3 linked regions of the Saccharomyces cerevisiae S288C genome follow. The gene in region 3 interacts genetically with the main gene of each other region. Each region holds a gene or a part of one and is shown on either strand. Other genes may lie near its edges. The genes, in order: YPT31, CHS5 and TPM1.

Region 1 (3,281 bases), on a different chromosome or scaffold from region 3:
ATGGTCAGCAACTTCAGTAGAAAAAGCTTCGTTTTCATCCTCTGGGCATTCAATAAGTGATGGTGATGGTTCTCTTGTATGAGAGATACTTTCATCTGGTATAATTTGAATCGAAGGTACCGAGATTTCTTGGAGGAAGGACCCATTTTTAGGTGATTGAGCTTCAGGAGGAATATCAGATGTTTTTGGAGATGACGTGAACCGTAAGGGTGATCTCTTAGGTATTTCAATGGAAGTACATGGGTTAGAATGTTCAACAGGAATTGAGGGAGCAGAGGTCGGAGCTGGTGGTGTGGAGGTTGCCTCGAAATTTAAGGAAATGTCATCAATATTATGAACGCTCCTGCTTCTCCTATGTTTATGTATCCTCGGATTATTATTCGTCGGAGATTTTTGCAAGTCTATTAACATCTGTCTTCTGGATTCAAATGATTGATTCACAGGCGAAGTATCAACTTTCAGGAAATCTTCATTGTTCGTGTCTCCAGAGTTTCTATTTTCATGTACCTTATCCACATTATTGTTAGTAGTACTGGAGGGAAATTTGAATGACATATCGAGTTTGTCCAGTGATTCAGGGTTAACTTGGCGAGTTGGAGAAGTTGGCTCCTCGCTAGGTTCAAACTGCTGGAAAAATTTTAATGTCCCATTTAAACCTGTGCTTGGTGGGGATTTCATGTGCTCTAAGTCGGGGATGTCTATCAGTTTATTTGGTGTTGACAGAATTTTTAACGAAACATTTTTTTCAGTGTTTTTTTCCTCACATTCCCTATCTGTTTTACTCTTAATATGTTGTGGGTTTTTGAGATTTCTCCTTTGTATCTTCAGATTGACGTTGGCGTTCTCATCAATTCCAAGAAGCTTATCAGCATCTGCATTATTTAACTCGAAAGACACATCATGGTGGGCATATGGAATAGAATCATCTTCATCTGAATACGACGATGAGGGCTGTTCTAGAGAAGATTCAGTTGACGATGAGGTGTTACCTTCTTGAAACTGGCTATAGCCATCCCCATCGTAAACCAAGCTACTCCTCTTTTTATCCTTGTTTTGCGGAGATAAGTAGGGCGGCAGAGATATTTCTAATGGAACTGGTAAATGATATCTGTTCAATGGCGATTCAGGAGTGAGATATAAATTCTTTTCGGGAGTTAAGGGAGGAGGCCTGTCAAATGATAAATTCAGCGGAGATACTTGGCTAATATTACTAGTATTCTCATTAATACTGGTCTCAACCTCGGTTGCACGATATGTGTTCATTGTATCCACAATGATCGACTGTAATGATTTTGATCTAGAATGGTTTGGTTCTTTTCCACTACTACTTGTGTTGGACCTAACATCAGAACGAGTTTTACGGTGCCTGCTTTCACATTTTTTTCTCCTGTTATGATGAAACTTCCAAACTTCTTTAGGGACATCGACCAGTATTTTAGAGTGCATGTCGACTAAATGACCATGGCTATTCATAAGTAATGATGAAGTAGACATTCTTCTTTCGGTTTCATTTCCACTCTTGGGGAATACAATTTTCAGTGGGGAGTCCTGTGATATTTCATTTGGATCTGGAATGGAAAATCGAACCTGCGATTGTGTATGCTCATGGGGTTTCTTGTTCTTGCTCGATCTCTGTCGCGGTATAGCAACACTCTCTATATTATTAGTTCTATTAATGGCTAGTAAGTTTTCGCGTGGGCACAACACATCACGGCATTGATCATGGTCCATCTCATGTTGTATCGATAATGTACTGCACACTTTGCTCTTGACAGGTGTAACAGGGAGGCTCATAATCGGAAAAAAAGCTTCAGATCTATCCCAGCGCAATCTAATTGCACTAATTAGGTAGTAGTCTTGCTGTAAGTATGTTGTATTGTTGTTCCTAGGCGTCAATTCTACTGTTGTTATGTTTGGGCTCGTTTGTTGTTTGTTTACCATTTTCCAATGCGGAATATCACAGGCCGCTGCGGTGTGCGGGTGCTAAATTAGAGAAAGAGGGAAACTCAAAACTTTTCAAGAAAGAAACGAATAACAATTTGACCTTTATTACAAGGCACTTTGTTTAGGCCAGCAAAGGGATTCTGACGGCGTCTGGGGATTTCAACAATGAGCAGCGAGGACTACGGGTATGATTACGACCTACTATTTAAAATTGTACTGATCGGTGATTCCGGGGTAGGGAAATCCAATCTATTGTCAAGATTTACGAAGAACGAATTCAATATGGATTCAAAGTCTACAATTGGGGTTGAGTTTGCCACCAGAACTTTGGAAATTGATGGCAAGAGGATCAAGGCGCAGATTTGGGATACTGCGGGCCAGGAACGTTACAGAGCCATTACTTCTGCTTATTATAGAGGAGCTGTAGGTGCCTTGATCGTTTACGATATCAGTAAATCAAGCTCATATGAAAATTGTAATCATTGGTTATCAGAATTAAGAGAAAATGCAGATGACAACGTCGCAGTGGGGCTTATCGGTAACAAGTCTGATTTGGCCCATTTACGTGCTGTACCTACGGAGGAGTCCAAGACTTTTGCACAGGAAAATCAGTTATTATTCACAGAAACAAGTGCTTTGAACAGTGAAAACGTGGATAAGGCTTTTGAAGAGTTAATCAATACCATCTATCAAAAGGTCAGCAAGCATCAAATGGACCTTGGTGACTCCAGTGCCAACGGGAATGCCAATGGTGCGTCCGCTCCTAATGGACCAACGATTAGTCTGACACCAACACCAAACGAAAACAAAAAGGCAAATGGAAATAACTGTTGTTAAGAGATATTTTGCAGCAGTTGCGCACTTGCATGTGAATGACTCTTCTCCCCTTTAATTCTGTGCTATATTTTTACAATTTTCTGCTGACATATAGTTTATATACATATAGAACGCATATAGGAAATTGAAGTAAACAGAATACACAAGTAGAGGCCGGTATGTACGACATTTTGCTTACTACTCTTTAAAATCATCGTCTTCTTCGTCTTCATCGTCTTCTTCTTTTTCACCATATCCTACATCATCTTTAGAGCCTGTGCTAGGTTCCTTCTTGTCTAATTCTTCTGCAGTCTTTTTATAGTCAATTACTTTGCCGCGTGTTCTTCTTCCGGATGTGATGATATTAGAGGTATCAATTTCTGCCAAATCGTCCTCTTCTTCTTCTCCCTCATTTCCCATCAATGCGTCTAACTTGGCATCGTCCATATCAGATTCAGAATCTTCAACAGTACCATTATTTTCGCTCTTCGTCAAACCATTTTTAGCCTTAGTCTCCTCTT
Region 2 (3,600 bases), on a different chromosome or scaffold from region 3:
ACAATTTCCAATTTTCCCCTACAGGAATTAATTGGAGGGTACAAGCGAGTAGAAATGTGACATATGACTTACCTATCTGTGTTTTAGTATAGTTTTTTTTTCTGTAGTATAATTCACTTTTACACTAATTTTTTCGCCTTTTTCTCTTAAAGAGCTAATTTCTATAACCTTCAGCGGTTATACCAAATATAAAAAATGGAAGGAAAACAAACAGTAAGAAATAAGCGCAACAGCACGTTAGTTCACCATTGGATTCCAACATTTCAAAATTTAATCTAATGGCAAGAGATATCACATTTTTGACCGTATTTTTAGAAAGTTGTGGCGCTGTAAATAATGATGAGGCAGGAAAATTGTTATCTGCTTGGACTTCAACCGTACGCATTGAGGGACCGGAATCAACCGACTCTAATTCATTATATATTCCACTGCTACCACCTGGAATGTTGAAAGTATGTTTCTCCTAGCAAAATTAAAACCCATCCGTGAATGAAGCGTTACTAACTATAATAACTGGTAGCTTTGTCACTCGTACCAGGAAAAGTGAAGATTAAACTGAATTTTAAAATGAACGATCGATTAGTTACGGAAGAGCAAGAGTTGTTTACAAAATTGCGCGAGATTGTAGGTTCAAGTATTCGCTTTTGGGAGGAACAACTGTTTTATCAAGTTCAAGATGTAAGCACCATAGAAAACCACGTCATTCTCAGTTTAAAATGTACAATTTTAACGGATGCTCAGATAAGTACGTTCATAAGCAAACCCAGAGAGCTTCATACGCATGCCAAAGGATATCCTGAAATCTATTACCTTTCCGAGTTATCAACAACTGTCAATTTTTTTTCTAAAGAGGGAAACTATGTCGAAATAAGCCAGGTTATTCCTCATTTTAATGAATATTTTTCCTCTTTAATAGTGTCTCAATTGGAATTTGAATACCCGATGGTCTTCTCCATGATTTCAAGGCTCCGATTGAAGTGGCAACAAAGTTCGCTCGCTCCGATATCCTACGCCCTAACGAGCAATTCAGTACTTCTTCCAATAATGCTTAACATGATTGCCCAAGACAAATCTTCAACAACCGCGTATCAAATTCTGTGTCGAAGAAGAGGTCCTCCAATTCAGAATTTTCAAATTTTTTCCTTACCGGCTGTAACGTACAATAAGTAGCATGCATAAAATATAATTTAATCAAATACTTTTGGGCAATTAAAATTTTAGTTAACAATAGTTATGCAATGCGCTTTATGTTCATATGATACCGTTTATAAGCTATTGCCATATCCTTATCTTATTGCTTCCAGTAGCCTCGAGTCGACCACTAAAAAGATGTCACTTAAGACGGAAATTATGTAGCTGCACTTCTTTTTTAACAAGTTCGGTCGGCCCTTCAAGTTCTCCTTTCTAAAGCCTCATTATTTATTGCGTAGATGCTAAATGTTATCGCGGTTTAGCTTGCATGTTACGTTTCCGTTTTAGAACCTGGTCGAGTAGCGAATAATGTCTTCAGTTGATGTACTGTTAACAGTAGGTAAGTTGGATGCCTCATTGGCGTTACTGACTACTCAGGATCATCATGTTATTGAGTTTCCTACAGTATTATTACCAGAAAATGTTAAAGCTGGATCTATCATAAAAATGCAAGTTTCACAAAATTTAGAGGAGGAAAAAAAACAAAGGAATCATTTTAAGAGTATACAAGCCAAAATTTTGGAGAAGTATGGTACCCATAAACCGGAGAGCCCAGTTTTGAAAATTGTTAACGTTACGCAAACGAGCTGTGTTCTAGCATGGGATCCATTGAAACTTGGCTCAGCAAAATTGAAATCACTGATCCTTTATAGGAAGGGAATACGTTCAATGGTAATTCCAAATCCATTCAAAGTGACTACCACGAAAATATCCGGTCTTTCCGTTGATACGCCATACGAATTTCAATTGAAACTGATAACCACGTCAGGAACATTATGGTCTGAAAAGGTTATATTGCGTACACATAAGATGACTGACATGTCTGGTATCACTGTATGTTTGGGTCCATTGGATCCATTGAAAGAAATTTCAGACTTACAGATATCCCAATGTTTGTCTCACATCGGGGCGAGACCTTTACAACGTCATGTTGCGATAGATACTACGCATTTTGTCTGTAACGATCTAGACAATGAAGAAAGCAATGAAGAGCTTATAAGGGCAAAACATAACAACATACCAATTGTCAGACCGGAATGGGTGAGAGCTTGTGAGGTTGAGAAAAGAATCGTTGGTGTTAGAGGATTTTACTTAGATGCAGATCAAAGTATACTGAAAAACTACACATTCCCACCAGTTAATGAGGAAGAACTTTCGTACTCAAAGGAGAATGAGCCGGTAGCCGAAGTAGCGGATGAAAATAAGATGCCCGAGGACACAACAGATGTCGAACAGGTTGCATCACCTAATGACAATGAGAGTAATCCTTCAGAAGCTAAGGAACAAGGAGAAAAGAGTGGACATGAAACTGCCCCAGTAAGTCCTGTAGAAGATCCATTGCATGCTTCGACGGCTTTGGAGAATGAAACCACCATCGAAACCGTCAACCCCTCCGTAAGAAGTTTGAAAAGCGAACCTGTTGGTACTCCCAATATAGAGGAAAACAAAGCGGACTCTTCCGCAGAAGCCGTGGTAGAAGAACCGAATGAAGCTGTGGCTGAAAGTTCTCCAAATGAAGAAGCAACGGGACAGAAAAGTGAGGATACCGATACACATTCTAACGAACAAGCTGATAATGGATTTGTACAGACTGAAGAAGTAGCTGAAAACAACATAACCACAGAAAGTGCAGGGGAAAATAACGAACCTGCAGATGATGCAGCAATGGAATTTGGACGTCCAGAAGCTGAAATTGAAACTCCAGAAGTAAATGAGTCTATAGAAGATGCCAATGAACCTGCGGAGGATTCCAATGAACCTGTGGAGGATTCCAACAAACCTGTGAAGGATTCCAACAAACCTGTGGAGGATTCCAACAAACCTGTGGAGGATTCCAACAAACCTGTGGAGGATTCCAACAAACCTGTGGAGGATGCCAATGAACCTGTGGAAGATACCAGTGAACCTGTGGAGGATGCCGGTGAACCCGTACAAGAAACCAACGAGTTTACTACCGACATTGCCTCTCCAAGACATCAAGAAGAAGATATAGAACTTGAAGCCGAACCTAAAGATGCTACCGAAAGTGTTGCAGTCGAGCCATCCAATGAAGATGTAAAACCAGAAGAAAAAGGTTCAGAGGCAGAAGACGATATCAACAACGTTTCCAAGGAGGCTGCCTCTGGTGAGAGTACTACCCACCAAAAAACTGAGGCCTCTGCTTCTCTTGAAAGCAGTGCCGTCACGGAAGAACAAGAGACAACGGAAGCCGAAGTAAATACAGATGACGTTTTGTCCACTAAAGAAGCTAAAAAAAATACTGGCAACAGCAACAGTAATAAGAAGAAGAATAAGAAGAATAAGAAGAAAGGGAAAAAGAAATGATTAATGGATGCCTTCAATGAGTTCCACGACGCACGTTTATTTTTTCGACTGAGAATCCCTCAGCAAATATAATCTATTTTTTAT
Region 3 (3,340 bases):
TCCTATCAGTATATAAAAGCGTTCAAACGATTTCACATACTTGTGGGAACGAAGAACGCGTCATTACCTTTTTAGTCTACAGATTCGATGCTCCAGTCATTTTTTTCCTTTATTTTCCGTAATGTTCTAGAAGAAATCGAGCGGGGGAAAAAGATACATAGAAGGATAATGTGATTAAATAAAGTTTGATGTCTAAGGCTATGCAATGGCTATGCAATCCAGGGGGGGTTACCTACTTAAAAGGGGTCGCTACTAAGTATACTATCGTCTTGACTGTCGGGTATAATTATAGGATTGCTTTTGGTCTCACCTGCCATCTGGAAGAGACTTGAAGGAGTAGATAAAAGGGACATGTCTAAGTCGCTGGCGTTAGAAGAGCAGACAGAGCTTTCATTCGATGCTGAACCCGGAGAGCAAAGCAAAGTCAGGCGCAGTTGCGTCCTCTGTGTTATAACCAGCATTAAGTATTCTCTCCACAGTTCCAACAGCAGTTGCTCCTTTCTTGCATGCGATTTGGTGTTCAATTTTCCTCTTCTTTTTGGGTGGTACAACACACTAGGGGAAGTATTGGACCGCCCCACATTCTTGTTATAAACAGATCTTGTGGTTGGGGTCGTTGAATTCTGTTTAATTGTTTTCGTCGCCGTCGCAGGCATAGTCGTCGGGAGACTACCTGGTTGTGATTTGGGTAGTTTCCTACTTATGGAGCGGTTCCTTAGATACGGTGGACGACTACTGGTTGCATACATCTGGCTTCTTAAAAATGGGATAGGAGTTACCGCAGGGTCCCTGCTAGTGAGATTTCTGATAGCGTGTAAGTTTACCGGTTGCGAAGCCAGGACATTTGCAATATCCATTTGTTCCAGTTCTATATAGTTCAAAACGGATGTCAGCTCCTTCTTGCTCCTGAATCTTGACCGTACCTTTGCTTGCCTGTCTTCCCTGCGTATGGAGTGTTGCCTCTTCAAAAACCCTTTGTGAAAAATGAAATTATGATTCTTGCTGAACTTGGAGAGTTCATTTTTGCTGGTAAAGTCTGTTCTTCGTTGTGAAGTGTGTCGAATTGGCTTTGCGTTTATGGTAGGAGAGCGAGACCTCATCTTATAATTCGACCATTGCGTAAACTGTTCCATCACTTCAGTGCTTTCAACCTGGTCCGCTTTGCTTATGTTACGGTTCCTCAAGTGCGAAGCATCGTGGTACTCCATATATGGTTTGAAGCTGTCGTGTGTTATATGAGAGTCATCCGATATTTGCACTATAGGAATCTTGGTATCTGAATTTGAATTTGTGTTCGAATTTGTGTTCGAATTTGTGTTCGAGTTCGAGTTCGAGTTCGATGTAGAATCCACAAGCGCATGTATATAACCTGAAGTGGTAAACCCACCGGTACCCAGGGGAGGTGGGAACAAAGTCGGGGGATAAGACTGAGTCCCAATGCTAGTCTCGTATGTCTCCATTGTCTGTATGGTTGTATTTCAAGACGTATCTGCAAGAAAACTGATGTTTGCGAGTTAGGAACAGGGAAAAATACATGAATTAAGAAATACGAACGATCTTAACTATTTTCAACAGTACCTGAAACATGGATGTAAAAACGTAGAAGATACCCGAATAAAGTGGGGCGCACACCGGACTTGAAACCACTCCTCCTTTACCAAGCACTAATTTAAGCTAATCTAATTTAACGCAGTACATTTTGTATGCGCGGCAGCAGCTTAATACATTGCTGTCATTCACTAATGGAAAAAAAAAAAAAAAAAAAAAATCAAAATATAAAAATAAATATTAAGAACTTAAAAAGACAAACCAGCCATCGCGTGGCGCTAGCACATATATCTTACCCGACGGAGAGCCGGGTAAAGAAGTCGGGTAACCATTAAAATAAAAAATCAGCACACCATAGCACGATCTACGAGAAACGGAAAAGTGTTAGAGATCACATACTGCATACTTGGCAAGAAGAAGGTTCGTTTTTCCCTTCTGATACTGTAAAAGATTAGGTTGGTAGAAGAAATCTACATAGTAGAACTCACACCCCATACACACAAAAAAGGCAACAATGGACAAAATCAGAGAAAAGCTAAGCAACTTGAAGTTGGAAGCCGAATCATGGCAGGAGAAGTACGAGGAGTTGAAAGAGAAGAACAAGGACTTGGAGCAAGAGAACGTCGAAAAGGAGAATCAGATCAAGTCTTTAACCGTCAAAAACCAGCAATTGGAGGATGAGATCGAGAAGCTGGAAGCGGGACTTTCTGACTCTAAGCAAACAGAACAGGATAACGTTGAAAAAGAAAATCAGATCAAGTCCTTGACGGTGAAGAACCACCAATTGGAGGAAGAGATCGAGAAGTTGGAAGCAGAATTGGCTGAATCCAAGCAATTGTCCGAGGACTCTCACCACTTGCAGTCCAACAACGACAATTTCTCCAAGAAGAACCAGCAATTGGAAGAAGACTTGGAGGAAAGCGACACCAAGCTAAAGGAAACCACTGAGAAATTGAGAGAGTCCGACTTGAAGGCAGATCAATTGGAAAGAAGAGTAGCTGCCTTGGAAGAACAAAGAGAAGAATGGGAAAGAAAGAACGAGGAATTGACCGTCAAGTACGAAGACGCAAAGAAGGAACTGGACGAAATTGCTGCATCTCTGGAAAACTTGTGATCTACTTTTGTTTTTTGTTTTCTTTTTCTTTTCCCCAACACGCTGGTCTTTGTTCCTTGTTCTTGAGCAAATCAAACGCTCATGGGCAAACGAAACTAAAATAAGAACCATTTATACAAATACAATAGCTTAGACTATACATCTGTATACTTTTCCCTTGAAGATGTTTTTGTTCTTTACCGTTTGCGTGCTGATTTATGATGTTTTTACATTGGGCGTTATTACCCGAGCGGCGTTTTGTTCGTGGGACTCACACTTGTGCCTGCTCCCATGTTAAGTTTTGCACGGTTTATCACATGGACAAAGGCATTCTCATATTACACAGCTACATGTGATATATATCGGGCGTTTCCACGTGTACAAGAACCTGAAAAGTTTATCGGAAGACTAAGTTTTGGGTTGCCCACCGTCTGTGCATCTACGTGAACACACCAGGGTTTCTCATTTCTTTTTTCTTTAAGTTTTTTTTCTCTTCCCTTCCCTTCCTTTGGTCAAATAATCTTATTTGATTCTTCAGGGTTTTAAAAAACCAGATGACGTGGATACTAAGTACTGGTATGGGCCCTCATGAGGACAAGTATGCCAAGCATGAGCGAGCGACCTTTAAAAAGACGTACAGTTCTATGAAAACGCTGTCTTTGAATCATTTAACTGCCAAGCAGCATATGCTGATGGCCT

Evidence for each region.
Region 1: mutations in TPM1 (region 3) and YPT31 together harm fitness more than expected from each alone (negative genetic interaction), as found in Saccharomyces cerevisiae (5 studies listed by BioGRID).
Region 2: mutations in TPM1 (region 3) and CHS5 together harm fitness more than expected from each alone (negative genetic interaction), as found in Saccharomyces cerevisiae (5 studies listed by BioGRID, with this or other methods).

What each region holds. Positions count from the first base shown.
Region 1 is NC_001137.3:213,576-216,856, reverse strand, and holds YPT31 (Rab family GTPase YPT31), read left to right. Parts: upstream 1-2,109; coding exon 2,110-2,781; downstream 2,782-3,281. Other genes in the region: FIR1 (Fir1p), read right to left, coding at 1-1,794; CHZ1 (Chz1p), read right to left, coding at 2,959-3,281.
Region 2 is NC_001144.5:786,164-789,763, forward strand, and holds CHS5 (Chs5p), read left to right. Parts: upstream 1-1,500; coding exon 1,501-3,516; downstream 3,517-3,600. Other genes in the region: REC102 (Rec102p), read left to right, coding at 279-452, 550-1,170. UniProt on the Saccharomyces cerevisiae protein: Component of the CHS5/6 complex which mediates export of specific cargo proteins, including chitin synthase CHS3. Also involved in targeting FUS1 to sites of polarized growth.
Region 3 is NC_001146.8:477,888-481,227, reverse strand, and holds TPM1 (tropomyosin TPM1), read left to right. Parts: upstream 1-2,062; coding exon 2,063-2,662; downstream 2,663-3,340. Other genes in the region: NIS1 (Nis1p), read right to left, coding at 237-1,460; EOS1 (Eos1p), read left to right, coding at 3,196-3,340.